Stegostoma tigrinum: one gene and its partner. The protein of the gene in region 2 interacts with the protein of the main gene of each other region in a biochemical or structural test. Links are inferred from orthologs where the notes say so. Each region holds a gene or a part of one and is shown on either strand. Other genes may lie near its edges. The genes, in order: solute carrier family 2, facilitated glucose transporter member 1-like; txnipa.

The links.
Region 1: the proteins of txnipa (region 2) and solute carrier family 2, facilitated glucose transporter member 1-like form a complex in vitro, tested with the Homo sapiens proteins (2 studies listed by BioGRID). The link is inferred for Stegostoma tigrinum from reciprocal best matches to the Homo sapiens genes TXNIP and SLC2A1.

The regions. Positions count from the first base shown.
Region 1 is NC_081381.1:10,222,128-10,237,118, forward strand, and holds the start of solute carrier family 2, facilitated glucose transporter member 1-like, read right to left. Parts: upstream 6,196-14,991; 5' UTR 5,949-6,195; coding exon 5,934-5,948; intron 1-5,933. UniProt on the Homo sapiens protein: Facilitative glucose transporter, which is responsible for constitutive or basal glucose uptake. Has a very broad substrate specificity; can transport a wide range of aldoses including both pentoses and hexoses.
Region 2 is NC_081400.1:7,695,761-7,711,257, forward strand, and holds txnipa (thioredoxin interacting protein a), read right to left. Parts: upstream 6,713-15,497; 5' UTR 6,617-6,712; coding exon 6,361-6,616; intron 5,559-6,360; coding exon 5,486-5,558; intron 5,374-5,485; coding exon 5,226-5,373; intron 4,785-5,225; coding exon 4,682-4,784; intron 4,581-4,681; coding exon 4,327-4,580; intron 4,032-4,326; coding exon 3,857-4,031; intron 3,736-3,856; coding exon 3,590-3,735; intron 3,492-3,589; coding exon 3,453-3,491; 3' UTR 2,228-3,452; downstream 1-2,227. UniProt on the Homo sapiens protein: May act as an oxidative stress mediator by inhibiting thioredoxin activity or by limiting its bioavailability.

The DNA of each region.
Region 1 (14,991 bases), on a different chromosome or scaffold from region 2:
AGAATGCCTTGAACTACAGTTGACCAAAAGAATGTTGACATTGCGGACGAACATTTTTTCCTTGGTCAAAATATCCAAGCCAATTTGCAAAGTATTTTGATGAGCAGTTGAAACCTCACAGCATTCAGGGCTACCAGCCAAGTGCTGGAAATTTCTTTATATTCATTCACAGAATGAGGGTATCACTGGTTAGGCCACTATTTATTACCCATTCCTAATTGCACAGAGGGCAGTTAGGAGTCAACCACATTGCTGTGGGTCTGGAGTCACATGCAGGCCAGACCAAGTAAAGATGGCAGTTTCCTTCCCTAAAGGGCATTCGTGAACCAGATGGGGTTTTTCCAGCAATTGACGTTGTTTTACAGGTCATCAGTAGATTCTTAATTCCAGATTTTCATTGAATTCAAATTCCACCATTTGCACAATCTGAACCCTGGGTCTCCAGAACATAGCATGGGGTGGCATGATAGCTCAGTGATCAGCACTGCTGCATCACAGTGCCAGGGACCCAGGTTCAATTCCAGCCTCGGGTGACTGTCTGTTTGGAGTCTGCACATTCTCCCCATTTCTGCTGGGTGCTCTGGCAAACCCCCACAGTCTAAAAGATGTACAGGGTAGGCGGTTTGGCTAAGGTGTCCAAGGATGTGTAGGTTAGGTGGATTAGTGGTGGGGAATTGCAGGGATGGGATAAGATTGGGGTCGGGGCGGGGGGGGGGGGGGGTGGAAAAGGAGAAAGTCTCTTCAAAGAGTTGGTGTGGACTTGTTGGGCCAAATGGCCCATTTCCACACTGGAGGGATTCTATGGAAAAATTAACACATTCTCTGGGTGAACAGTCCAGTGATAATACCACAAGTTTATCGTTTCCTAGACATAGTCTTACATTGTGCAGCAAAAATGCTGTGCTTTAATTTTCCAAATCTACATTTCTGTAAGATTCCCATACTAATGGATAGGTCTACTCTTGCCTCCAGTTGCTGACAACAGAAACTTTGGAATCCCACAACTACAACATCCGACAACTCAGCTATTCCTCCAAATCTAATTCCTTCATCAAGCTTTGGTCATCAGATCAAATATATACTTATGTAGTATATTTAGCTTATAACACTCTCCTGAGATATCTCGGAAGGTTTTGTTATATCAAAAGGGTAATTAGAGTTATTGTACATGTAAAGCCTGTGGTTACGGGCAGCCAGTGCTGATTATCTCAAGGGCACAACCAGTCAGGGCCATGAATGAAATCTCAGAAGGGGCTCCCCCCCTAACAGCACCATGTGTGCACCTCTACACCCCATTGAAGAAGGCAGCTCACCATCACCTTCTCAATGTCAGCAGCTACAGACAGGAAATTAATGCAATCAGCATCACCCACATATCACAAGCACACAATGTGAGCTCTTTTCATGTTTTCAGTTAACCTTGAATTGTAAAGCCAGGTTTCCTCACTTTCACCAACGAAATTGCGTGACTGTTGCCTTAATTATGGGCAGGAGTGGGAAGAAAAATAAATAGGCCAGCAGCAGACAAAAAATTTCAGGAGTCTATATTTGTCTACTGCCTCTCCTGGACTGTTTTCATAACGTAAATAATGCCTTATTGTTCTTTCTATTTCCATAGGTTTTCTGAAACAGTCAGAATCCCAGATACACGGCATGGAGCTTAAATTCTGCGAATTGAGAGTTGGAGCCCGTCACTGGAGAGACTCACTTTCTACTGAGTTTTAGGGGCTTCTATACCCAACTATGGAGAATACATTCAGCAAAATAAATTCCAAGCTCCGGAAGAAGGAATGAGGACTTGTGAAAAAAAATCAAAACAACTTCTGAGAAGTTGAGAGGGAAGAGGTAAGTTTTTTTAAACTTGACCTTTCTGGCAGAACCTGGGCTCATGGACACATAATAACCTGGGGCACTCAACCAGGGGCTTTGCTGTCTCTAATTTTAACCAGTGTTTTTAAACAAACCAAAGCTGATGGGTGCAAAATTCATATAATTTCGATCAAAGTTGGGTGCAACATTAGATCCTAATTTTAACTTCAGCCCCAGTGAGGATACTTGCCTGTCTCTGACACCAGGCAACAGCAAATCTGGAGGCATCGGTGAAACTAACAAGGTGGGTAAGACATGCCCAGGGTCCAGGAGGAGTTCGTGTGGACACTGATTTACCTACTGTCTCACAATCCCTATTACTGACATAAAACTGCCACCCCTGTGGGAACTCTCTTCTTATATTGCCAGTACACACTTGCACCATTCACCAAATACACTGAATTCCACAGTTACTCCAACATCATTTGCATGTTAATAAGACTGAGCAACTTCATTACTAAAACTAGGAATTTCCTACTGGAAACCCTCTGGCAATTAAAGATCTCTCTTGCGCAGTGCTTTATTGCTGCATCACTATACCCAGTAGACTTATTTAATACTGCATGAAGTAACAGTTCCAAATAAAGTTCTCAAACATCACTTAATCTCAGGCTCCTGATTTATCTTATCCTTTTAACCTTGGCAGTGTCCTGCATGTGAGCGAGTCAAGTGATTTTCCTGCAGCAGGCAGTCTGATATTGCTCAGTGTCACTCAGGTCTGTAGCACTTTAAAAATCACAAGACATGTTACATAAACAGCAAACTGCTTCATAGTTCTAATTGTGGAAATCACTGGGTCTTTTTTAGAGACTTCCCAGGGTAGTAGCTTGGTATGACATGTCTCCCATGTGATCATTTTTCTGATGATCCAAACACTTTTGTGACGCAGTAGAAGAAAATATTTGGATATATTTAACACATTTCACTAATTTAGGATGACCCAGGCTGCTTCCCAGCCAAATTACTATACTATTGCTATATAGGAAACACACAAGCCAAATTGTGCACAGTTTGATCCCAGATAGCAGCAATACAATGAGCAGATCATCTGATGTTGTTTTAAAGGTAAACATTGGCTCAGCCATGGGTGGGGGGTCCACTGATTTTCCTTGAAACACATTGTCCAGCAATCTTTTACACCATCTTCAGTTCAGAGAGGTCCTTAGTTTAAACACGTCATCTGAAAGATGGCATTTCTGCCACTGTAACACTCCCCCAGTGCTGCACTACAGGTTCAGACTGGAAAATAGTTTCAAGTCTCTGTCATAGAACATGAACTTGCAATCTTCTACCTCCAAGGTGAGAGTGCTATCCAATGAATCACAGAGTGTGAACAAGAGCAGACTAGCAAGGATCAACCTACAGCTCAAATGCCTGTTGTCTCACACTCCACACCCATCACTTCTAATGTATGTACAGCCTGGAAAAACACACACACAGTCACCATCTTCTAGTTCCATGCAATTGTGTGAAGATTGCATTTCATAAAATCAGGGCATGCAACAAGTATCAGAAACAGTAGTGTGTATATGGGGAAGTCTGTATAAAGTCTCTGATGAAGGGTCTAGGTCCGAAACGTCAGCTTTTGTGCTCCTGAGATGCTGCTTGGCCTGCTGTGTTCATCCAGCTTCACACTTTGTTATATTGTATAAAGTCTCTATCTCTCATTATCAGCTTACAAATGCCACCCTGAAAACTGGCGGGGCACTTATTTCACTACTCTGTTCTCGCTTATCCTTGCTGGCACTTTAACTCTCCTCAAATCTTTTTGCAGTTCCTGATTTAAAACTCTAATGTGTGCACGTGTGTGTGTGTAGGTTAGCTGCATTCCTTACATTAAATAACATTGTTGGCTACATTTTGGGAATAAAATTATTAACAGCTCAACAGCATTGAACAGTTTTGATTGTTTAACCAGGTGCATTTAGGGGCGACCAAGATAATTCCTAGGATTGTTAATGCTACAGGGTTCAAAGGATACGGGAGAAAGAGGAACAGGGGACGGAGTTGGATGATCACACCGAATGGTGGAGCAGACGCTAAGGGCCGAACGGCCTACTCGTGCTCCTATTGTCTATGTTTCTATCCCTTTAAAAAGATGCAACAAAACGTTGCATTTAACGAATGCAAAAAAACTAATGAGCCATGTTAAACATTCATTGTGAATATTACTGAGCAACTCTGCGCAAAGTTTTTGAATGGGTCCCTGCTAACACAGCACTTATCATAGATTGATCATACAAGAAGATACAGCTGACCCCATCTTCTAGAGGAAATGTGGAATCCAAATAATTTTTAATTGGTATAACTTTCAAATGCTGATTTTCATCAAGACATACATCCCAAAACTTTTTTGTTGCTTTAACACCTTTCTGGTGTCTTGCCAAGTTATTTCAGTTGAATGAAGATGAGGGTTTTTTGTTGGTCCAGTTGTTTGTGAATTTTGCTGATTAAGAATTTATGATATTCTCTGTTGCTACAACAGCAGATCGGTGAAAGCACTTAAGCTTTTTCGTTCCCTCCACATGACGGAGATACCACCGCCAATAGCAACCCCCAAACCCCAAAGATGGGAAATTCAGTTAATGCTGGAAACGATTAAATCGTTTTAGATGCGGAAGTTAAGGCGTGATTATTCGAAATTTGGTGATTTAATTTGGGATATTTGCTTGATGCAAACAGGCACGTACACACAGAGTCTGGTGTTAGAATGTAATAAATGGCCAACGGGTTTGAGAATAGGGTGCATATGAAGTGTTAACTATCCCAGAGAGGACAGTGCAGTTGCAGATTGTTGAAACCCACCATAAAAGTACATCATAAACTAGCAGCCTGCTATCCCCAGGCTGAGCTGTACGTTCACTGGGTCATGTACACATTCCTGTTGCAGCAGCTTCACCTGAGAACTACTGAGCTAAGTCGGGGGGGGGGGGGGGGGGTCTGAGACCTCCTAAACAATCGGGAGTCGGAGGGGGGAGGGCGTCTGAGACTAGCTCCTGAGCTATCGGGGGAAGGGGGTCGAAACTGCAACATTTCCACCCCCTACAACACGTCCCGTGGCGGAATTTACAATGTAAAATAATTGATAAGCTTTGAAAGCAGACTGCTGGTTTAGCTACACGAACCATTTTGGATCTGGCCGAGCTGTATTTAAACACAAAGGAGACATTTTGAACTCAACGATTGCTGGGGATGTGCACTAACATTTGGTTTTACAGCTCCGCTCTTGGTAAACTTTAATTATGTCAAATCTGGCGGAAATTCACTCAGATATTTAACACTTATTGCCCTTTTCCAGTTAGTGTGACACGAACCCATTTTAAAACACTGCCCAACTCTTAAAGGTGTATCTGTAGCTGAGGGTGGAGATTAATGATGAACTGGTTTTACATCTGAAACTGCCTCACTGTCCCGGGCATTACCTCCCAGAAAAGCCTTAAACATCCAGGCTTCTGTTTTTAAATCGGAGAGACAAACATTTCAATGACAGCGTTAAAGCATTTCCTCATGCTGTGAATTCTGTAAAAATAACGTGTCTGGTTCTGCACGGTTAAAACCACGCGCTGTACCCATTGTTTTGGTCACACGGCCTTTTCTGTTCCATCCTTCCCTCCCCCAGCGTGTGTGTGTGAGAGAAAGAGAGAGAGAGTGTGAGAGAGAGTGAGAGAGTGTAAAACATAATTAGCACTGCCCCAGCAATCACAGCGTTTCTTTCAGTTGTTGCTGCTTTCGGGAAGTCACATCAGACTCGATATGTTGAAGTCTGCTTCTCTCTCCACCGACCTGCTGAGCTCCTCCAGCACTCTCTGTGGCTGACCTCCATCATTCTGCTACCTAACTACCCCGTTCTCCGGCCTCATTACAAACTACAACACACCAACCAACTGCCTTAAAAGGAAAATGCATTAAATTCCAGCTTCTTTCGAATTGCAAAATCTTCCATTCTGAAGGACTCCAAACCGGTTAAAGGCTTGTCCGGAGAATGTGGTCACCGCTTTTTAAAGCCGTGTTGTTGTGGGGGGGGGGGGACCCCAATAAGACACAGTGCGTTCCATAAACCATACCTTGTCTGTGGCCATGCTGTTGTCACACAGATGAAGGATCCGTTGACGGCTGTAGTTTGGTCTTGGGTGATGTCCTTTGATCACGCTATTCAAAGTCTTCTATGATTGAACCCCGCAGTAAGTCCTCACAGCAAATCCTCTTCAGATATCTGTGATAAGGTACAAAGTCATCTCCCTGTGTTGGAACCTCCTTGTATGTATGTGTCTCTGTCTCTCCTCGAACGCTCATGTAATATCCTGCTCCAAGCAACGAACTGCTCTTTGTGTGTGTGCTTTGAATGGGATTGGATATCAATGGGTGACGTCTGAGGGGTGTGTGATGGGCTTGCCACTTTACCATTTGCTGAGGATTGCACGGAATAGTCTCCAGTAGCCATGACAGCATCCTACCACCCCACCCCCCCCCCCAAATAACCGAGCAGCTGTCCCACCTCCCAGAGTGATGCAGGTTCCAGCCCACGGCAGATCCTGTTACAGTCACGCTCAGTCTCCATTGGCAGGAGCCGTTTCCATTTCTAAACTCACATGAACTTTTCGAAGTGAGTGTTAGCTGTTGAAAGTCATTGTACAATATATTTATGGACGGCAGGACCTTGACCCAGGAACTGGCTCCCCTGAATTGGAGGGAGAGCACAGGCTCTGCGTCCCTCTTTTTCCCAGGTTAGACTCTGATCCGAACTGGGCAGCCTGCAAACATCCCGAGTGTAAACCAGACACCAAAACTTTCTCATAACTTCGCTGCAGTTTACTTATCTGTTTTAACTTCAGGTACTCCATGAATTGTGCACCAAAGACTATTTCAACATTTCAATTAGCAGCCGGAGTGGGCTATTTGGTCCATCGAGGCTATTCCACGATCCAATGTGATCATGGAGGATCTGATTACTCCATACTCGACCCCCAATTTCCCACCCCCTCCCAACCACCTTCACCCTGTTCGTGAAGGATCTACCTGACTCCCAAAATATTCAATGATCCTGCCCCTATCACGGTGTGAGATGCTCGTCCTGAATCAAGTTGTTTCGCTCGCTCTTGTCAAATAGCACCTGAAAGACATGTACACCAATTCCACAGGATCGTCCTCATCAATTCTCTCTGATAACCCATCAGAAAGCTCCAGTCAGTTTTCTAAACATGATTTTCCCTTCCCAACTGCATGTTGACTTTCCCTAATGAATTCATATTTACCCAAGTGATCATTTGCCCCGAAAGTTGCATAGATGCGTGTGATCGCATTGTTTACTTAGACTTTGCTGAATTTGAAGACATGAATGATCTGGTAATCAGATTTCAATCAGTTGCCAAGGCTGTGAGAGTAAAAGTGGTGACATGGGGCAAGTCCTTTCACTGCTAAGATGCACTAGAACATTGCCATTTTTTCATAAATTACCATCCTTAATAGGAAACGGGATGAAATGATGGAGATGGAGAGTTGGAAAGCTAGGAGTATGTAGGAGCCAGAATATTTTGGAGTGAAGAGCAGGGGAATGTTAGAGAAAATGGCATCAGGTACAATTTACTTTTACAGAGCCATGACATTTCGGGCACATGATCCATGGTGTAATTGTAGACGGTGAACTAATAGTATAGAAATGATATGACCAGAATGCCACCAAATTGTTGAGCTATCTCTTGAACCAATTAAAGGACATTCTCCCTTGTGTATATATATTCAGGATGGCAGCCAGTGATTAGTGCAGTTTCACAGGGGTTAGTGTTGGGACCACACATTTTACGTTCACAATTTGGACAAAGGAACTGAGGGTGTGTTGCACAAAGATGGATGGAGGGAAAGGTGGTGTTGAGGAAGTGGGGAGGCTGCAGAAGGATTTGGACAGGTTAGGAGAGTGAGCAAAGAAGTAACAAATGGAATACAATCTGGGATAGCATGAGGTTATGCACCTTGGAACGAAGAGTAAAGGCATTAACTATTTTCTAAGTGGATAAAGACTTTGGAAATCTGAAGCACAAAGGGATTTAGTGGACCTAGTTCAGGATTCTCTTAAGGTTAACATGCAGGTTGACCTGGCTGTTAGGAAGGCAAATGCATTTCAGAAAGGCTAGAATACAGGAGCAGGGATGTACTGCTGAGGCTGTATGAGGCTCTGGTCAGATCGCATTTGGAATATGGTGAGCAGTTTGGCTCCATATCTGTGATACATCACAATCACTCCTGGTGTCTTATCTACATCAAATGTATTCACCCATTTGAATATGCCCTCCTTATCAATTTTAAGCTTTTCAAGTGTCTGAACCTCATGGTCTGGGCAAAATCGTCTTCTGAGGTGAAGACAGATGTAAAATATCCTGTTAATACCTCAGTTATGCTGCCTGTGTCCATGTGTAAACCTTATTTTGATTGCTCATTAGTTCCTCTCTTTTCTTACTTATAAGTTAACAGAAGAATTCGGATCCCTTTCATTTTAGCTGCCAGTCTTTTTTCTTAATTTCTCTTTACTTCTGTTGTTTGTGTGTTCAGTTCTACTTTGAAACCTCTGAATTTAGCCTGGATCACAATGATATTCTCTAATCAACATCTGACATATGACACACTTTGTCTGCTTTGTATTAATTTCAACCAATTTTATCATACAGGGAGCTCTTAACTTGTTTGTCCTAGCTTTCCTCTTTGCAGGAATATACCTCTTCAATAAAGGCAACGCAGCATTCAATTATTGTTTTGCTGCTAATCTTTGATTCCAATTATTCTGAGCCAGATCCATTCTTATGCAATTGACATTGACTATCCCCTGGTTAATTATTCTTGCTCTGGATGACCCCATTAACATCATCACATTTTTGAGAGAAAATTCGTGTTAAAATTAGCATTAAGGCACTTTATCTAAATGCTCGTAGCTCATACGGTACTGAATGACATAGGGTCAGAGGATGTGGAGTCTGTGTGGGTGGAGTTGAGGAACCACAAAGGCAAAAAAAAACATAATGGGAGTTATGTACAGACCTCCTTACAGCAACCAGGACCAGGGACGCAAGATGCACTGGGAAATAGATAGGGCATGTCAGAAAGGCAAGGTCACGGTGATTATGGGGGACTTCAATATGCAGGTGGGAATGGTGAATAATGTTGCTGGTGGATCCAAAGAAAGGGAATTCATGGAATGTTTGCAGGATGGCTTTTTCGGAAGAGCTTGTGATGGAGCCCACAAGGGAGCAGCCTATTCTGGACTTAATGCTATGTAATGAGCCAGACTTTATAAAAGATCTTAAACTAAGGGAACACTTAGGAGGCAGCGATCATAATATGGTAGAGTTCAGTCTGCAGTTTGAAAGAGAGAAGGCAAAATCGAATGTAATGGTGTTACAGTTAAATAAAGGTAATTACAGGGGTATGAGAGAGGAACTGATGAAAATCGACTGGAAGCAGAGCCTAGCAGGGAAGACAGTAGAGTAACAATGGCAGGAGTTTATACATGTAATTGAGAACACAGTACAGAAATTCATCTCAAAGAAAAGAAAGATTTTCCGGGGTGGGATTAGACAGCCATGCCTGTCAAAGGAAGTCAGGAAATGTATCAAAGAAAAAGAGACAGCCTATAAAGTGGCCAAGAGCCCTGGGAAATCAGAAGATTGGGAAGGCTACAAAAACAAACAGAGGATAACAAAGAGAGCAATAAGGAAGGAGAGGATCAAATGTCAAGTTTTGAGAAGATTTGTAGCTCAGGTTGAGGTTCTGGATGTGAGTTTGCTTGCTGAGCTGGAAGGTCAGAAATGACATCACCAACCCAAGGAAACCTAAACAGATAAATAGAAAGCGGGACATAACACCAGCGCTTCACCAGAGGCTCACTGGTGATGTTACCTAGAATGGTGACAAAACGTCTGAAAACTAACCTTCCAGCTCAGCGAGCAAACTCACATCCAGGATCAAATATGAAGGTAGGCTAGCTAGTAATATTAGAAATGATAGTAAAAGTTTCTTTCAATACCTAAGAAACAAACGAGAGGCAAAAGTAGATATCGGTCCGCTCCAAATTGATGCTGGAAGGCTAGTGATGGGAGATAAGGAAGTAGCTGAAGGACTTAATAAGTACTTTGCGTCGGTCTTCACAGTGGAAGTCATGAGTAGTATGCCAACAATTAGGGAGAGTCAGGGGGCAGAGTTGAGTATGGTAGGCATTACAAAAGAGAAAGTGCTAGAAAAGCTAAAAGGTCTAAAAATTGATAAATCTCCTGGTCCCGATGGGCTACATCCTAGAGTTCTGAGGAAGGTGGCTGAGGAAATAGCAGAGACTTTGTTGTGATCTTTCAAAAATCACTGGAGTCTGGGAAAGACCCAGATGATTGGAAAATTGCTGTTATAACCCTCTTGTTTAAGAAAGGATCAAGGCAAAAGATGGAAAAGTATAGGCCGATTAGCCTAACCTCGCTTGTTGGTAAAATTCTAGAATCCATTGTTAAGGATGAGATTTCTAAATTCCTGGAAGTGCAGGGTCAGATTAGAACAACTCAGCATGGATTTAGTAAGGGGAGGTCATGCCTGACAAACCTGTTAGAATTCTTTGAAGAGGTAACAAGTATGTTAGACCAAGGAAACCCAGTGGATGTTACCTATCTAGACTTCCAAAAGGCCTTTGATAAGGTGCCTCACAGGAGGCTGCTGAGCAAGGTGAGGGCCCATGGTGTTCGAGGTGAGCTATTGGCTTGGGTTAAGGATTGGCTGTCTGACAGAAGGCGGAGAGTTGGGATAAAAGGCTCTTTTTCGGAATGGCAACCGGTGGCGAGTGGTGTCCCACAGGGCTCCGTGTTGGGGCCGCAGCTGTTCACCTTATATATTAATGATTTGGATGAAGGGACTGGGGGCATTCTGGCGAAGCTTGCCGATGATAGGAAGTTAGGTGGACAGGCAGGTAATACTGAGGAGGTGGGGAGGCTGCAGAAAGATTTAGACAGTTTAGGAGAGTGGTCCCGGAAATGGCTGATGAAATTCAACGTGAGTAAATGTGAGGTTTTGCACTTTGAAAAAAAGAATACAGGCATGGACTATTTTCTAAACGGTGAGGAAATTCATAAAACAGAAGTACAAAGGGATCTGGGAGTGTTGGTCCAGGATTCTCCAAAAGTTAACTTGCAGGTTGAGTCTGTGATTAAGAAAGCGAATGTAATGTTGTCATTTATCTCAAGAGGGTTGGAATATAAAAGCAGCGATGTTTTTCTGAGGCTTTATAAAGCTCTAGTTAGGCCCCATTTAGAATACTGTGTCCAATTTTGGGCCCCACACCTCAGGAAGGACATACTGGCCCTGGAGCATGTCCAGCGGAGATTCACACGGATGATCCCTGGAATGGTAGGTTTAACATATGATGAACGGCTAAGGATCCTGGGATTGTATTCATCAGAGTTTAGAAGGTTGAGGGGAGATCTAATAGAAACTTACAAGATAATGTATGGCTTAGAAAGGGTGGATGCTGGGAAGTTGTTTCTGTTAGGCGGGGAGACTAGGACCCGTGGGCACAGCCTTAGAATTAGAGGGGGTGAATTTAAAACAGAAATGAGGAGCCATTTCTTCAGCCAGAGAGTGGTGGGCTTGTAGAATTCATTGCCACGGAGCACAGTGGAGGCCAGGAAGTTAAATGTCTTCAAGGCAGAGATCGATAAATTCTTGATCTCGCAAGGAATCAAGGGCTATGGGGAGAGTGTAGGGAAGTGGAGTTGAAATGCCCATCCGCTGTGATTAAATGGCAGAGTCAACTCGATGGGCCGAATGGCCTTACTTCCACTCCTATGTCTTATGGTCTTATGATTAGGACAGGGTCAAACAAGTAGGTTTAAAAAGCTTCTTAAAGAAGGAGTGAGTGAATAAAGGATGGAGAGGCTTGGGGAGTATTTCAGAATTTACAGAGTAGGAGCTGAGGATACAATAGTCATCAGGGAGAGATGACCATCTGGTAAGAATTGGAAGAGTAAGGAGACCTTGGAGGATTGGGGGGTGGGATGTGATTATGGAAATAGGGAAAAATGAGATTACAGAGAGATTTAAAACAATTTGAGCAAATCTCAATCATGTTTTGCACAATTGAACGTCAAGGATATCAGAGGTATTAATGCAGATGGTGATCAGTTTCTATCTCCTTCCCAAAATCCACAAACCTGCCTGCCCTGGTTGACCCATTGTCTCAGCCTGTTCCTGCCCCACCGAACTCATCTCCACCTATCTGGACTCCATTTTCTTCCCCCTGGCCCAGGAACTCCCTACCTACGTCCGTGACACCACCCACGCCCTCCACCTCCTCCAGAACTTCCAATTCCCTGGCCCCCAACTCCTCATATTCAACATGGACGCCCAGTTCCTATATACCTGTATTTCTCATGCAGATGGCCTCAAGGCACTCCGCTTCTTCCTGTCCCGCAGGCCCGACCAGTCCCCCTCCACTGACACCCTCATCGCCTAGCCGAACTCGTCCTCACCTTCAACAACTCCTCTTTCAATTCCTCGCACTTCCTACAGACAAAAGGGGTGGCCATGGGCTCCCGCATGGGCCCAAGCTATGCCTGCCTCTTTGTAGGTTGCGTGGAACAGTCCCTCTTCCTCACCTACACAGGCCCCAAACCCCACCTCTTCCTCCGTTACATTGATGACTGTATTGGCGCCGTCTCTTGCTCCCCAGCGGAGCTCGAACAGTTCATCCACTTCACCAACACCTTCCACCCCAACCTCAAGTTCACCTGGGCCAACCCCAACACATCCCTTACCTTCCTGGACCTCTCAGTCTCCATCTCAGGTAACCAGCTAGAAACTGATGTCCATTTCAAGCCCACCGACTCCAACAGCTACCTAGAATACACCTCCCCCCACCCACCTTCCTACAAAAATTCCACCCCCTATTCCCAATTCCTCCGCCTCCACCGCATCTGCTCCCAGGATGAGACATTCCACTCCCGCACATCCCAGATGTCCACGTTCTTCAAGGACCACAACTTTCCCCCCACAGTGGTCGAGAACACCCTTGACCGCGTCTCCCACATTTCCCACAACACATCCCGCCACAACCTCCCCAAGAGGATCCCCCTCGTTCTCACATACACCCCACCAACCTCTGGATACAACGCATCATCCTCCGACACTTCCGCCATCTACAATCCAACCCCACCACCCAAGACATTTTTCCATCGCCACCCTTGTCTGCCTTGCGGAGAGACCACTCTCTCCGTGACTCCCTTGTTCGCTCCACACTCCCCTCCAACCCCACCACACCCGGCACCTTCTCCTGCAACCGCAGGAAGTGCTACACTTGCCCCCACACCTCCTCCCTCACCCCCATCACAGGCCCCAAGATGACTTTCCACATTAAGCAGAGGTTCACCTGCACATCTGCCAATGTGGTATACTGTATCCATTGTACCCGGTGTGGCCTCCTCTACATTGGGGAAACCAAGCGGAGGCTTGGGGGCCACTTTGCAGAACACCTCCACGCGGTTCGTAATAAACAACTGCACCTCCCAGTCGCAAACCATTTCAACTCCCCCTCCCATTCTTTAGATGACATGTCCATCATGGGCCTCCTGCGTGCCACAATGATGCCACCCGAAGGTTGCAGGAGCAGCAACTCATATTCCGCTTGGGAACCCTGCAGCCCAATGGTATTAATGTGGACTTCACAAGCTTCAAAATCTCCCCTTCCCCCACTGCATCCCAAAACCAGCCCAGCTTGTCCCCACCTCCCTAACCTGTTCTTCGTCTCACTTATCCCTTCCTCCCACCTCAAGCCGCACCTCCATTTCCTACCTACTAACCTCATCCTGCCTCTTTGACCTGTCCGTCTTCCCTGGACTGACTTATTCCCTCCCTACCTCCTCATCTATACTCTCCTCTCCATCTATCTTCTTTTCTCTCCATCTTCGTTCTGCCTTCCCTTCTCTCCCTATTTATTCCAGAATCCTCTCCCCATCCCCCTCTCTGATGAAGGGTCTAGGCCCGAAACATCAGCTTTTGTGCTCCTGAGTTGCTGCTTGGCCTGCTGTGTTCATCCAGCTTCACACTTGGTTATCTTAATGCAGAGGGGATTGGTTTGAGATTTCAGCAGAGGAGTCTGAGTGTCTCCTCAAGGGCAGTAATATTTATTCATTCCTTTCGTTCTGGCTGCATGTTCTATCCATCCCCCTCAGCTTCCCTTAATCTTGCCCCATCAGATCATGAGTCAACATGTTAACCAGCTCCTTCTCCATGATACTGCAATTATCATACAGGAAATGATAGAGTGTTTCACCCTGACATGACATGCACTTGTAACTGTAGCTGTGAAATGTTGGGGATGTCCCACTGGCAGGCTGCAAGATTCCTGAAGTAAAGATTTAAAGAACACTGTTTGTGTTTTGAGCTCCTTGTAAAATAAGGCCTCACAGAAACCTGGAAAACATCAGCAGGAGGAGGCCAATCAGTCCATCGAGCGTGCTCCACTCTTCACCATGATTATGGCTGATCCTCTACCTCGATGCCATGATCCCACTCTCCCTCATACTTTGGAACACCTTTAGCTTTCAGAACTCTATCTATTTATTTCTTGAGTATATTCAGTGAATTGACATCAAGATAGTGGTGGAGTAGGGCTCCTAAGCGGGGGCTTCTCCACTACTCTGCTTTCCTTTTCTTTCTTCTTCTCTTTTCTTGTTTCTTCTTCCCTTGTCCATTACTTACCCCTTGTCCTGAGCTCGGATGGCATTGGAGGTTGGAGTGAGGGATCCCAGCGTGAACCTGGTGCAGTGGTGAGTAAGCCCAATGTAGAGTGACCCCCTACTTACTCTACTGGGGCCAGCACAGTTTCTACATTGCTGGAGGCAATGGCGGAGGTGGGCCCAGTGACGAAAGATGGTGCCTGTAGAACGGGTGACGGCAACATTGTTTTGGTCCAATGGTATTGGAGGAGGGACAGTGGTGCGAGCATCATTGATGATGAGCTACTTCAGGACTGATGGTCTCTCTTTAAGCTATAACCTTCTACGTTTGTCTTATTCTTAAACCATTCAAAATGGCATCAGATTGTGAAGGAAGTGGGAAAGGTTTTCACCGTATTTTACTGTTTTTCTCACTGTAAAATACACC
Region 2 (15,497 bases):
TCTCCTGGCATCAGAGGCAGTTCAGGGAAGGTTGGATTTCAGGGTTTAGGGAATCTGTGGAATTCTGCAGCACAGACTGCCATTGGAGAAGTCAGCTAATGCTCTGGGGATCCAGGTTTAAAGAATCTGGAATTAAGCAGCTAATGATGACCATGAAACCATTGTTGACGGCAGAAAAAGACATTGGGTTCACTAATCTCATTTAGGGAAGGAATCTGTCATCCCCACCCAACCTGACCTGTTTGTGACTCCAGACTCTCAGTGGCATGTTTGATTTGACTCTTAACTGCCCTCTGGGCAATTAGGGATGGGACAAAAATTGGGACAGAACTTCCTCAGTCCTAATGAAAGGTCACCGGACCTGAAACATTAACTCTGTTTTCCCCACACAGAGGCTGTCAGACATGCTGAGCTTTTCCAGCAACTTTGTTTTTGTTCTTGATTTACAGCATCCACTGTTCTTTTCGTTTTTAATCAATGTCATGGGTCCAGTCCTGAGGAAGGGTCACTGGACTTGAAATGTTGACTCTGCTATCTCTCCACAGATACTGCCAGACCAGCTGAGTTTCTCCAACGATTCCTTTCTTCCAGATCCCAATCACATTCAATCATCTCACAAACAGATAATTTATTTCAGGAGATGGAACTGCTTTTCCAGAGCAAGCAGGTTATAATTAACATTGGAATACTACCTTCACTTGAGGGGAATTCTTTAGACTCATGCTGGGAAAGAGCACCAGGATATTGGCAAGTTCAGCAAAACATCCGTCACCTGCTCGGACCAAGCAACTGTGTGGGATGGCCCACATTGGCAGGTGAACTGCAAGAGTGTGAGTGGGATAGAGCACATAGCAACTTAATGGACAAAGGGCTCAGCATGCAAAATTCCCCAAAGAGCATTTCTGCAGATACATGAACCATTGGAGGTTTGAAGTGCAAGGACCACCAGACCCAGAGTGACACAATGGATACTGATTATAATCAACAGCTACATATTGCAGAGTGTGGTGGAGGAAGATTTGATTGAAGCTTTCAGCAGAAGGTTGGAGAATTATCTGAAGTGGGTGGGCAGGGAGTTGGGACACTATTTTACAGAGTTGAGGAGAAACTTCTTCACCCAGAGAGTGGTGGATACATGGAATGCCCTACCCCAGAAGGCAGTGGAGGCCAAGTCTCTGGATAGTTTCAAGGAAGAGATAGATAGAGCTCTTAAAGATAGTGGAATCAAGGGTTATGGGGATAAGGCAGGAACAGGATACTGATTGTGGATGATCAGCCATGATCATAAGGAACGGTGGTGCTGGCTCAAAGGGCCGAATGGCCTACTCCTGCACCTGTTGTCTATTGACTATTGGAGTTGCTGTGCTAGACGGGTAGTTGTGCTAGATGGGCAGTGTTGTGTGTGTGTGTGTGTGTGTGTGTGTGTGTGTGTGGGGAGGGGGGGGGGGGGGGGCGGGGGTCAGTGGACTGGGAAGGAGAGAACATATGGGCCAGATGGCCTCCTTTCATGTAAGGATGTCTTTTGATGATCTGGCACGTGAAAGATGGGGAGATTTTGTTCACATTTTTAGGATTCTGAAAGGAATCAATTAAGTCAGATGAATGGTTGGATGGCAGTGAATCTTGTGGGACTGCCCTTTGTTCTCATTTTACAGGACCTCAGTCAGGACATGCAGGATAGGAGTGGCAGACCCCTGTCCCTGAAAGATATTAAGCAAATCAACAAAGCAGCAATTTTGCATGGTTATTATTCAATGCCAGCTGACACAAATGGTCGAGGAGTATCAAAACATTCACATTTCCCACACCTCCTACCCTGTCTTACCCCACCCCAAGCAGCTCAAAGTAGGATTGAGCCCATGCACACTAAGCACTCAGACCATCAAATGATACCTTTTCCCAATTGCGTCTTGTGTCAGCTCCTGCCTTGTTTGGAGGCATGTCTGGAGCTAAGAGTAGAATGAATGAACTGGGTCTTCAAAGATGAAAGCTGATGTTGGTGGATTCCAGCATAAATGGGTTAGTGTAAAATTTTACACCAGCGGAACTGGAAACAAGCACGAGAGACATGCAATCTCCCACTGATGCAAAGTAGTATGAGGTTTCCAGGAGTATTGGCAGGAGGCCGAGTCTCTAACATTAAGCATCCTGCTGGCTTGGCCATTAGCTACCAGTGGGAAACACTAAACCTTACTACACATTCCAGAAATGTCCAACAATTGTCGTATGTTGTAAAATACTTAAAAACTTTATTCAAAATTGATCACACTTACAAAATAAAATACTTAGCTTAGAAAAATACACAAAATAACATTTGGCAGATTCCACATAGTAGAATTTTAGAAAATCAAAAATATTTGAATAAAATCCTTGTCAAAACAACACTTTAGACTGAGATATATTTCCCCAATGAGCTCAGATAGTCAGAAGACTTATGGGAAGACTTGGGAAAAAAGAAACACAGGATTCACATCCTCAGTACAAAGTTACACAAAACTGGAAATGTTATACAAACAGCAGAGTGGAGTGTTTTGAAATGTTTCTTGCTTGTTAAAAAAACAAAAAAACAGCAAATTGTACAACATGAAGCTTGCTGTTTTAGAATGTCAGCAATTATTGACCTTCAAACAGAAAGCTACCAAAGAAATAAACCTCTGCCTAAAAACAGGTACCAAGTAATGCCCTTTTTGATTAGCAGAATGCTGCCGATGATGGTACAAGGCAATGTGAAGAAACAAATCAGAATAATAAGTGCCAGGACAATACTGCAGTGAAAATGCAAAGTTTGGCAGCATTTCTTCCAACAGAGAATTGTTCAGGATATCTGGAATGACCAAATTCTGTTTCTTAGACTAGCATCTTCCTTCAAGCCAGACGATGGCAGAAACAGGGACTGACTGATGGAGGAAGGGTATACACTCAGTGCTTGCCCCATGTTCAACCAGCTAAGGTATGGTTTACTAGTTACCTCAGATGGCCATAATCATCTGCCACCTTGCGCACAAGTCCATAGCCTGGCACAAAGCAGTGAAATATCTGTGTTGCCCTATCAGTTAAGGAAAAAAGATATCAAACATTCTTCAGGAGAACAGAAAGAAATGGCAATCAACAATTTAAACAATATTATTTGTAAATCTGTAACTGCACAACATGTAGCTCCCCTCATTCACAAAACAAGCCAGGTTCCTTCAGCTCAGTACAGGTACAGAGTGTCCCCATGATTACTGAGTGGCATGACGTAACTCTAGGAATTTCGACCATCTCACGGTGGGAGTCAGCAACAGGTCGAGACCTTCATGCATGCACACACTACCTCTTCCTTGACCTTTTCTCGCTGGCGCAGCCCAGCTCCTGCAGGCCCTCCCCGTTAAGTGCATCTGAAAACGCATACGGTGATTTAAACTGGAGTCCAAGTCTGTGTTTATAAAAAGTCATTGCAGGACTCTGCAGTTTCACTCAACCATGCACTCGCAGTTCCCATTCTCATCCACCTGTGGGGAGAAAGGAAGGGAAAATTCATCATTAGGCCCATGTCAGATTCAGGTGATGGGAAAGTTTACCAATTCTCAACTGGCACTGTCTTACTCACATCCGAGCTGACCGGCGATGACCCGTAGCTAAACACTGCAGACTTCATGAAGATGGGACTCTCTGGCAGGCCATCACAATCATCCAACAAGGGAGTGGTGGGGCTTTCCAGACAGTGACTCGCAGAGCACACATGGAAAGGACTGGCTGCAAAGGAAACATTCCAGATCAGTCAGCCAGTACAGATAGGAAAACCAGCTCTGCAAGCTCACTGCCCCCACATAGCCAGGCCCAGATGCCGCCATGGAGTGTACCTGCAAGCCCTTACCTGCCATTTGCTCCGGGAACTCCATGTGGGGCCAGCTCATGCTGCTGCTGCTTACACTGCTGCAGTTGCTGGTATTGCTGAATGATCGGCTGTTCATGCCATTGTATGGGATGGTGCCAATGACCAGAGGGAGTTCAAGGACCAGCTTCTTGCTGCCTGGAATGTGGACATAAACCTGTGGGGAGGGAGAACATCAGTCATTCAAACAAAGCAACATCAAACAGGAGACTTCAAAAAGAACCCTCTTATTAATCCCAACAGTGTCAAAACTACCCTAGAGTGTTCCGGAAGGCGGAACAATGAATAAACCTAGAGATAGACACCCAACTGAAGTGCAGTCCCCACCCCTCATGATTGTGAGCACCTCGCCTTCTCTCCTCATTGAGGAATCACACCACATCATGGGTCAACTACAGGCAACACTAGAGGTGGCACACCCAGGAAGTTGCAACATCCTGCCCATCACTCACCAGTAGGGAGTACTCCAAGCAGATGATGTGAGAGCTGATTGATGGTTTCACGGTGGGGATCTGCAGGCACTTGTCACACCAGGATTCAGACATCCCCGAGATGATGTGGTTCCCCCGGACACTGTTGAGTTTCTCCTTGAAGACCTTGGTGTTGCCGCTCACCTGGTAGGTCTGCTTTGCCAAGATGGCTGCCTTGGGCATCACAATACGTGAGCAATTGTTCTGGAATTGGGCATTGATGCAGATCTGGTCACCTGGCAAAAAGGAAGGAAAGTGTTGTTGAGATTCATGGCATTGTCACAAACCAAGAAAAGCTGACAGTTCACGGAGCCAGAAAACAGACCAAGACCATTACCTTGGCAGTAACCCTTCCGGTCAATCTTGGCAGCAATGCACACGTAACCATCAGACAGGAAGAAACAAGTCACCTTCTTCTTATTGGACCCACCAACTGGGGACTGAAAGGAACACAGAAAATATAGTTTGACATTTGAGATAGATTTCAAGCCAACAGCAATGCAGCTACTATGACAGTAAGGGGTGGGCCACTCAGCTTGTCATGTCTGCTCTGCCATTCAATGAGATCATGGCTGATCTGATCATTAACTCCACTTTCATGCCTCTTCCCCTTTTTCCTGATTAAAAATCTGACTATCTCAGCCTTGAATATATTTAATAGCCTCAACTATCCTCTGTCAAAGAATTCCACAGATTCACTCTCCTCTGAAAGAAGAAAGTCCTCCCATCTGTCTTCAATGGGTGACTCTGGTATTACCTCATAACCTCTAATTATGTCAGTACTGACACTTACCCTAGTTCAACACTAGGATGATGCTAAGTAGAGTCATTTGATTCAGCACTAAGCCTCGCATTTACATTAACTGCTACCCATTACTCACTAGTAAGGTTGGCGTGTTGACATCAATGGGCTCGACCACATCAAAGTCCCTGCTGGTTTCCAGGGATGGCTGCTTCTCCCGATCAACATATGCTGTTACGAGGTAGCAGACACCACCATACTTGCCCTTGAACGAGGGGGGCAAGGGCCTGTCAAAAAAACAGCCACACAATTAGGAGTTGCAATGGCAGCATCATCCAAGCCAAAAATGTGCGACCATGGCACAACAGGGTCGAACAGGTAAGAATAAAGGTAGCTTACCCTTCTGGTATCTGGAAGCTGAAACTGTACTCGTACATTTTGCCAGGCTGCAGGAACATAGATCCATCAATGTCTGCACAAGATAAGAGGAAGTCATCAGTGTGTGAAGTCATGCAGACGGTCATCCAACCCAACCATGGGTGCACGCACTGCAGAATGCCCTGATCCCAAACAAGCGTACACCCAATTACATAACTTGTTGACCACCCCACCACCACTCTTAACAGTACATTAACCAACACCATCCTGCCTTTAAAAGGAGCAGATAAACACCATCGTCTCCACCACAATAGACAGACATCTACACAATTAGCAGGGCACTGATGCTTTAACTTCCTCTTAACGTGAAGAGGGTCAAGGTGGTCTGGGTTAACAGAACCCTAGATCTCCCCTATAACAGGCCAACAACAACACAGAAAAACCAGAAACTGACAACCCATTTATCCTTTGAAAGGAGCAAGGATCCCATGGCTCCTGTAACAAGAGACTGAACAAAATCCACCCCCCCCCCTTTCCTTCCTTCGAACGAAGAGGCTGCCCATCTCCAAATATTTCCCATTTAACAGGAGCCTGCTGACCCCCACCCCCCCCAAAAGGAGCTCCCCCTTTAAACAGGAGCCTGTTGAGCCCCCCTGCCCCAGTAGCAACTTGTCTTTTAAACAGGAGCCTGATTCCTCCCCCCCACCAAAAAATACGGGTCTGATGATGAAGACCACCCCCCAGCAGCAGTATTTAACTTTTAAACGGGACCCTGACCCAATCCCAAACCCCAGGGTCGCCCCCCATAAACAGGACCTGACCTCTGACCCCCACCAGCTCCCCTATAACCGGAAGTTGATCCTTGAGCCCACCGGAAGTCTCTCTCTCTCTCTCACCTGAGGTCCGGTTCTCTCCATCCGGAAGCAGCGTTTCCTGGAAGTGCAGGTAATCCTGCTGCTGGCGCAGGGGCTGCGAGCCCTTGAGGAGCTGGGCTCGGGCGTAGCCCAGGGCGACGATGCGCACGGCGGTGACCCTCAGCGGCTGGGCGGTCTGCAGCCGGACCCGCCCGGCCACCTTGTCGCCGGCCGTGTAGGTGCGCTCCGAGCTGAAGACCAGCTCAAAAGTGGGAAGGAGCTTCTTGTTGACCACCATGTTAGCGTCCAGCTTGGCTACTACCTCTTGCTGTATCACAGCGATAAATCCTTTCTTCCGCTGTCACTGTGTGAGTTCGATCTGTTCTGCGTACCCGCACCGCGCCTCTACTTATAGCTTTGACGGTGCTCGCCCGTTTCCCAACGGCCGTCCCCCCCCGTCGTTTCCACCAATCGCTGTCGGATCTGTCCCCAGTTCCGCCCCCCTCCCACTATCTGCACCAATAGTCGGTCGGTGTGTGACTGAGCGCGCCCCTCACCCGCCCCTGCCCCGCCCCCGCCCGCCCTCTCCCCGCCCCCCTTCCCCCGTCGCTCTCCTCCAACCGCCCCCGCGCGTGCCATTCCTCCTGCCTCCTCCTGCGCGCCGCGTGCTCGCCGCTGCCATTGGCCGATGCTGCTTGTTTACCCGGCCGGCAGCCAATCGGAGCGCCGGCGGCCCGCGTGCACAGGACCTGATCTCCGGCGCCCCGGCCCGTGGGTGGGGCCGGCAGGGCCTGGCGGCCAATCACTGTCCGCAGCCGCCAGCAACCGCCATCCCATTGGACAGAGGGATTGTTACACTCGGTTTCGGGTGAGCGATGGTAGGATGAGGTCAGCGTGTTGCAAAAAGTTTTGGATAATTTATTGCTTTCGTTAGACAATCGGCTTGCCATTTTTATACCTAAGATGTTATTCAAGTTATTTAGTTTGTCTCCTTTTATTTTAATTTTTTTGTAATTATCTCTCTACCTCATTTAATCGGATTATACATTATCCCTTGTTAGCTGTTAACACTTTACCCACACCATCTAACACTTTGGATTTATTATTCAACACTCCACTCACACTATTTGTATGATCTTTTGCCCTTGATCCCTCTGCTCATAAATTCTGTGTGCTCCTCTCTCACTTCACCTGATGAAGGAGGCTGCGCTGTGAAAACTTGTGATTTCAAATAACCCTACTGGACTATAACCTGGTGTCCTGTGACTTTTGACCGTGTCCACCCCGGTTCGAGAAGGGAACCTCCACATCACGGCAAAAACCCCGATACCTGGAGGGTGGGGCTTTGAAGGGGAGAGAGTGAGGAAACGGAGAGGGAAAATGGGGGCAGAGGGGAGTAAAGAGAGATAGGGAATGGCGGGGGGGCATGAGAGGGAGTGCGGGATGTGATGGGCAGAGAAGAGGATGGGGCAGAGAGAGGGTGGTGGGTGTGAGGGAGTTGGGGCAGAAGAGGGTGGGGTGTGTGAGAAATAGTTGGGGGCAATGGGGGAAGGTAATGAGGGAGTGGGGAGAGAGGGAGTTGGGGGGTCAGTGAGTGTGGAGGGGGAGAGAAGTCAGGTGACGGAGTATGGAGGGGGGAGAGGGTGTTTGGGGGGAAGAGAGAGAGTGCAGGGGGAGTGAGTGTAGGGGGAGGGAGAGAGGGAGTGCTGGGCAGAGAGGAATTGTGGTGGAGAAAGAATGGGAGTGTTGAGGGGAAGGGAGGGAGGGTGAGGAGACAGAATGAATGAGAGGGGAAGATCGGGATAAAGGGAATGGGGGAACAGAGGGAGGGAGAGAAAGTGAGGAGGTCGAGAGGCAGTGGAGGAAGAGATGGACTTGGGTGGAGAGTAGGAAGGGAATAGGAAGGGAGTAGGAAGGGCAGAGAGAAAGTGAGGAGGGAGAGGGAATGTTGGAGGTAGGATAAAGAGTGAGAACAGTGATGGTGGAATAGAAGGGGTGTGAGAAAGAATGAGGAGTAAGTGAGGGATAGAGAGAGTGAGGATGGAGAAAGGGAGTGAGGAGCATAGAGAAAGGGATAAAGAGAGGAAGGGAGAGAAAGTTTTAGAGAGGGGAGAGAAAAACTGGGAAGTGGGGATAGGATGGACAGAGAAGTAGGGTATAAAGTGAGTGTGGAGGATGGAGAGAGAGGAAAGGGAAAGATTGGGAGGAATATTGAGGAAGTGAGGGTGATAGGGAGAGAGGATAAAAGGGGAGAGTGTGAGGTGAGGGGAGGGGGGGAGAGGGAGAAGAGAAGGAGAGAAGAGAAAGTGAGAAGGAATAGAGAGTGAGAGAAGATGGGACAGACAAAGAGAAGGGGGAGAGAAAGTGAGGAGAGATAAAGAAGATAGAGGGGGAGAAAGGGAATGGGCAAAGTGAGGAGAGAGAAAAACGGGGAGAAAGGAGATGGTGGGGCAGATAGGGAGGGGGAGAAAAGGAAGGGGAGAGAGAGAGAATGAGTGGGGAGACATATAGAGGAGAAAAGGAATGGGAGAAAGATGCTGGGGGGGGAAGAAAGTGAGGAAGGTAGAGAGGGAGAGAGTAAAAGCGAGGGGAGAAAGGAGGGGGAATAAAGAGAGAGGTGATAGGCAGGGGAGGAGACAGTGGTGGTAGAGGGTGGGGAGACAAGAGGGAAGAGCGGGTGGGCGCAGTAAGCAACAGAATTTTGGGAAAGGAGGTAGAAAGGGATGGGGAGAAAAGGACAGGGAAGAAAGAGAAGTATGGTGAGAAATGGAAGTGGGACAGCGGGGAGAGAATGAGGTGGGGAGAGGCTGGAGAGGTGTACAGGGACATTAGGGGAGGGAGGAGACTGGGGGAGAGGGATGCAGGGTAAAGAGATGGGGTGGTTGTTTAATTTGGAGAGTGTGAGGGGGCAGATAAGGTGAGGGGAGTGAAGAGAGTCAGAAGGGGAGGCTGGATCAGATAGGAGGAACTGGAGGGAGGGGATGGAGTCCTCAATCTAGCTTGACCCGTTCCTTCAAACGTTCAAATTGTTTTGTCCTGAAACTCTGTGATTTTTATTTTTAATCAAAAACCTTCCAGTTCCTTGGTCTTTGCTCTCTGTTGCCTGCATCAGACTGGTGAAATAACGAGAAAGTGTTGGGCGGTGGTGGATGCAGAAAAGATGTTTCCTCTTGTGGGAGAATCTAGAACTAGAGGCCAGAGTTGAAAAAAAACGTTGCTCTGTTGGAACAGAGATAATGATACATTTTATTTCCATGGAGCGTTGTGAGTCTTTGGAATTCCCTCCATCAAAAGAGACTAGATGTAGAATTTATAAATATTTTTAAGGCAGAGGTATATAGATTCTTGATGACCAAGGGGATGAAAGATTATCGGGGATATGCAAGAATCTAGATTCAGGTTAAAATCAGATTAACCATGATCTTATTGAATGGCAGAGCAGACTTAAAGTGGCCTACTCTAGGTCCTTTTCTGATGTAAAAATATTTTTCATTGCCAGCCATGCAGGGTTTTGTTCAGATCCTTGCCAAATCAAAATTGAGGTTGATCCCAAGAGATACGATCACCCTTGACCAACAGTTTGTTCAGCTGTGCTTGTCAGTGGTTGAAGACTGAGCATCTCCAACCTGGGGACAAAATCTCAGCCATTATGCAGAAATGTGTCCAATTCTGGATCCTGTGCTTTTGGAAGACTGTTAATGCCTCAGACTGAGTGGAAGGAGATTTACCAGAATAGGACCATGGAGGAAGGTGTTAACAGAATGTTAGAAAGCTCACAGCACATATTGAGGACTTTCAGACTATTAAGCCTGCGACACGGACAGACTGGAGAATTTGAGTGGATGATTGACGTTAGGTCAGAGAATGTTAAAGAGCAATTTAACTGAGGCATTCGAAATTGTGAAGTGAGTTCATTTGAATTGATTAGAAGAAACTTTTTCGTCTGCTATGAAGGGCGCAGATCAATGAGGATTTGTAGGTCCTGAGAGACAGGAACAGTTAGACACAAAGTATTTTTGTGATCTGGGCTACGCTGCCTAAAAGGGTGATGAAAGCAGATTCAAGAGGAACTTTCAAAAGAGGGGCAAATCAGTGAAACTCCTAAGTGGGCATGGCCTGTGGGGGAAGGAGCAAGGTTTTGGGGTGTTGGGACTGATGAGAGAGGTCCATACCAACACAAAGAACCAAATGAGCACTTCCTGCACTGCACTGTCTCAGGGATCATGTCCCAACTTCTGCCTCACTGCTGCTCTTGCCCCACAGCCTTGCCCCTGCAAGTATTTATGCAAGCATTGCAGTCTCAGAAGCCAGAATTGTCAGGATAAACATGATAATGAGTCACTCAGCACCATTCCGAGCAGTGATTGTCTTGTTTATGCCAAGTCGGAGTCTGGAGGAATGGCCTATTTATCTCACTGTACGTAACGTGTTCAAAACTGTGCTATCAACTTTCTCAGTGTCGGGTAATTCACAAAATCTACAACTGTACGACAACCTCACTTTCTCATGAACTTGTTCAAAGTCTAATTGCATTCTGGACTTCCCTTTGCCTTCAGGTTAATTACTTTCTTAATTAATTATCGGCAGCAGCTTTGTAAACAATAAACAATAATTACTGTCAACTATATGTGTATTTCTTAAACAGTCCCAATGTGACCAGATGAAACTGAAACTTTCAAATCCCTTGACACGGTTTTATGATTAATCCACAAGCAATGATTGACATTATATACCTCTGATAATCAATAGTCTATTTAGAACTTATCAAATTTCCAGTCCAAACAGTCTGTACTCAGCAGAGGATACAGTCTTAAACATACTCTATTACTCAGTTTCAATCACACTCCTTGTTACTGGATTAGGGTCTCTAGAGACACTCAACTGTTACTGCGATACAGTCTCGAACACACTCAAATCTACTGGGATACAACAATGGGACACTCAATTACCTCAAAAATATATTTTACATACACACAGTCACTAAAGCAGATCAGTTCTGCATAGTGCTTATGAAGAAACAAACACTGGAGTTTGACGTTATCTAACAAACAAACCCAAGGCATTCTTTACCTGGACAGTACCATATTTAAATTCATTTGAGGCACAGGGTGGGTCTGATAACAGATTAGATCCACCCCCTTGCCATTTAACTTCAAAAAGACCTTAGATGGTGGTCTTTCCTCAGTGTGCCTTGGTAGTAGCGCCCCCAGATTTTAGTGCATTCCTCAGCATGCAATCCTGGACTTTGGAACGTGCCAATCTGCAACACACAGTTGAGGTCAACTCCTTGATCTGGAAGACCAACAAGTTTTGGGCACACCAAAGTGTGCCTGTTGATGGTCTTCCAGGAGCAGTCGATGTTTGTCTCGGTGTGTGCCCTGGGGAACAGACCGAACAACAGAGTCCTAGTGTCACGAAGCTGCCCAGGATAAACCTCAACAAAACCACTGCATCTCACTTCAGACTTCCTTTGCAAAGGCACATTCCAGAAGGAGACTTGTGATAGTCCCCCCACGCCCCACAGCCACTTCGAGGGTAGTGTTTGGTGGCACAGAGAGTCTGTGTCCACAAAAAGGATCTCACACAGGTAGTACCCTTCACACCTGCAGCTAAGTGATGTCTTGGTGCTTGTTGGAAAGCTCTGGCCGTTATGACATTCGATTACTGCTGTACAGCCTCCATTAAACTCATTGTTACTGGGTCACTGTCCATGGGACAATTATTATTACTGGGGTACAGGGTTCCAAATACACTTTGTTACTGAGATTCTATGTGGGACTCTCATTATAAGTAGAAAATAATCTGTAACACACTCATCGTCACTAGGATACAGTCTCTTGGACACACACTGTCACTGAGATACAGTACCTTCGGCACTCACTGTTTGCTGGGAAACAGTGTTTGGGATTCTCCCTGTTTCTGGGATACAGTGTCTGAGACAGTATCTGTTACTAGGACACAGAGTCCATACACTTGTAGTTACTGGGATAAACTCTGAGATCTTCACTATTAGTGGAATATAGTCTCTAACACACTAATTGTCACCATGATACAGACTGTTGGACACTCATTGTCACTGGGATTGAATTTTTTTGGCACTCAATGTTACTGGGATACAGTCTGTTGGTCACTCACTGTTGTAGAGTCATAGAGTCATACTACACGGGAACGGGCCTTTTGTCCAACAAGTCCATGCCGAACTAAACTAGTCCCACCTGCCCGTGCTTGGCCCATATCCACCCAAACATTTCTTATTTATGTACCTATATAAATGTCCTTTAAATGTTTTAACTGTGTCAGTGTCCCCCATATCACTTCCTCTGGAAGTTCATTCCGCGCACGAACCGCGCTCTGTGTAAATAAAAATACTCCTCATGTCTTTTCTAAATCTTTCTCCTCTCACCTTAAAAATATGAACCTTTGTCTTGAAATCCCCCACCCTAGGGAACAGACATCTGCCATTCACCTTATCTATACCCCCTCCTGATTTCATTAATCTTTATAAGGTCATCTCTCAAGCTCCTACGCTCCAGTGAAAAAAGCCCCAGCCTATTCACCTCTCCGTATAACTCAAACCCAATATGCCCAGTGTCATGCTGGCAAATCTCTTCTGAACCCTTTTCAGCTTAATAATATCTTTCCTAAAGCAGGACACAGTACTCCAGAAGAGGCCTCACCAACGTCCTGGACAACCTCAACACTACATCCCAACGCTTGTATTCAAAGGCCTGAGCAATGAAGGCTAGCATGCTAAACACCTTCTATAACCACTGTTAATGGGATACAGCCTTGTGTGCACTCATTATTACTAGGGTACAGTCTCCAGACTCACGGTTTCTGGAAACCATTTGCTGGGATGCTGTATGACTGGAATAGATTCTGGGTCACTCACTGTTACAAGGTACAGCCTTGAAGTGAAAGTTTGTCAGTCAGCATCAATTTGAGCATTAATTGATTTGTTTATGCTAAGTACAAGCATCAAGGTGTGGCCTGCCTATCTCATTGTACAGAACAAGTTGAAGCTGTATTGTGAGCTGACTCAGTCTTGGACCATTTATGAGGCTCCAGTTCAGAGATAACTTTACATTCACAAAAATCTGCACAATGTTTGAAGATATTCTTGGCTCCATTGCGCCTTCAGATTAAAGACTTTTTAAAAGAGCAGTGGCACATTTGTTAAGAATGGTCTATTGCTACTTTTCATCATTTATATAAATGATTTCATTGTGAACATAGGTATGGTTATTAAGTTTGCAGATGACACCAAAATTGGTGGTGTAGTGGATAGTGAAGAAGGTTACGACAGAGTACAGTCGGACCTTAATTGGTCCGAGAAGTGGCAGATAGAGTTTAACTTAGATAAATGTGAGGTGCTGCATTTTGGAAAGGCAAATCAGGGCAGGACTTGTACACTTAATGCTAAGGTCCTGGGGAGTGTTGCTAAACAAAGAGACCTTGGAGCACAGGTTCATAATTCCTTGAAATTGGAGTCACAGGGAAATAGGATAGTGAAGAAGACGTTTGGTCTGCTTGCCTTTATTGGTCAGTGCATTGAGTAAATGAGTTTGGAGGTCGTGTACAGCTGTGCAGAACATTGGTTAGAACATTCTGGAATACTGCATTTAATTCTGGTCTCCCTGTTAGAGGAAGGACGTTGTGAAATTTGAAAGAGTTGGAAGAAGACTTGCAACGATGTTGTCAGGATTGGAGGGTTTGAGTTATAAGGAGAGTCTGAATAGGCTGGGACTATTTTCTCTGGACTGTTGGAGAGTGAGGTGTGACCTTATAGAGGTTTATAAAATCATGAGTTGGATGGATAAGGTGAGTAGCCAAGGTCTTTTCCCCAGGCTGGTGGTGTCCAAAACTAGAGGGCATAGGTTTAAGGTGAGAGGAGGAGAGATTTAAAAGGAACCTAAGACACTGTCTCAGGGATCATGTCCCAACTTCTGTCTCACTGCTGCTCTTGCCCCACAGCCTTGCAAGCCTTGCCCCTGCAAGTATTTATGCAAGCATTGCAGTCTCAGAAGCCAGAATTGTCAGGATAAACATGATAATGAGTCACTCAGCACCATTCTGAGCAGTGATTGCCTTGTTTATGCCCAGTCGGAGTCTCGAGGACTGGCCTATTTGTCTCACTGTACGTAACGTGTTCAAAATTGTGCTATCAACTCTCAGTGTCAGATAATTCACAAAATCTACAACTGTACGACAACCTCACTTTCTCATGAACTTGTTCAAAGTCCGATTGCATTCTGGACTTCCCTTTGCCTTCAGGTTAATTGCTTGCTCAGTTAATTATTGGCAGGATCTTTGTAAGCAATAATCTATTACTGTCAGCCCTGCCATACAAATGTATACTTCTTAAACATACCCAATGTGACCATTTGAAATTGAAACTTTCAAATAATTTGATATGAGTTTATGATTGATCCGCAGGAAATGATTAACAGTGTTACCTCTGATAATCAATAACCTATAAAGAACTTCTTAAATTTCCAGTCAATACAAGTCTGTGCTCAGCAGAGCATATAGTCTTGAACACATACTCTGTTACTTGGATACATTCTCAATCACACTCCTTGTTACTCTGGACACTCAACTGATAGTTGAATAGTTCGAATGCACTCATTATTACTGGGATACAACTATGGGACACTCAATGACTTCAAAAATATACATTATTCATCAAAATATCTATAACCGTTGATAATCACTGCAGTACTGCTGGTCCATATTGTAGCATATGAATAGACAGAGTTTGACTCTGACTAATGAACAAGCCCAAGGCAATCCTGATATGTTCAAGACCATATTTAAATGCATTTGAGGCACAGGGAATGTCTGATAATTGAATAGAGCCCCCTTTAACTTCAATAGAAAGACCATAAATAGTGGTCATTTCCACATTGTGCCTTGGTGGCGTCACGTCATCGTGGACTTTGGAATGTGCTAATTTGCAACACACAGTTGAGGTCATCTCCTTGCTCTGGAAGACCAACAAGTTTCGGGCAGAGCAAAAAGTGCCTTTCACTGAGTTGATGGTTCTCCAGGAGCAGTCGATGTTTGTCTCAGTGTGTGCCCTGGGGGATAGACCGAACAACAGAGTCTCATGTCACGGAGCTGCTCAGGACGAACCTCGACAAAAACCACTGCATCTCCCTCCAGACTTCATTCGGAAA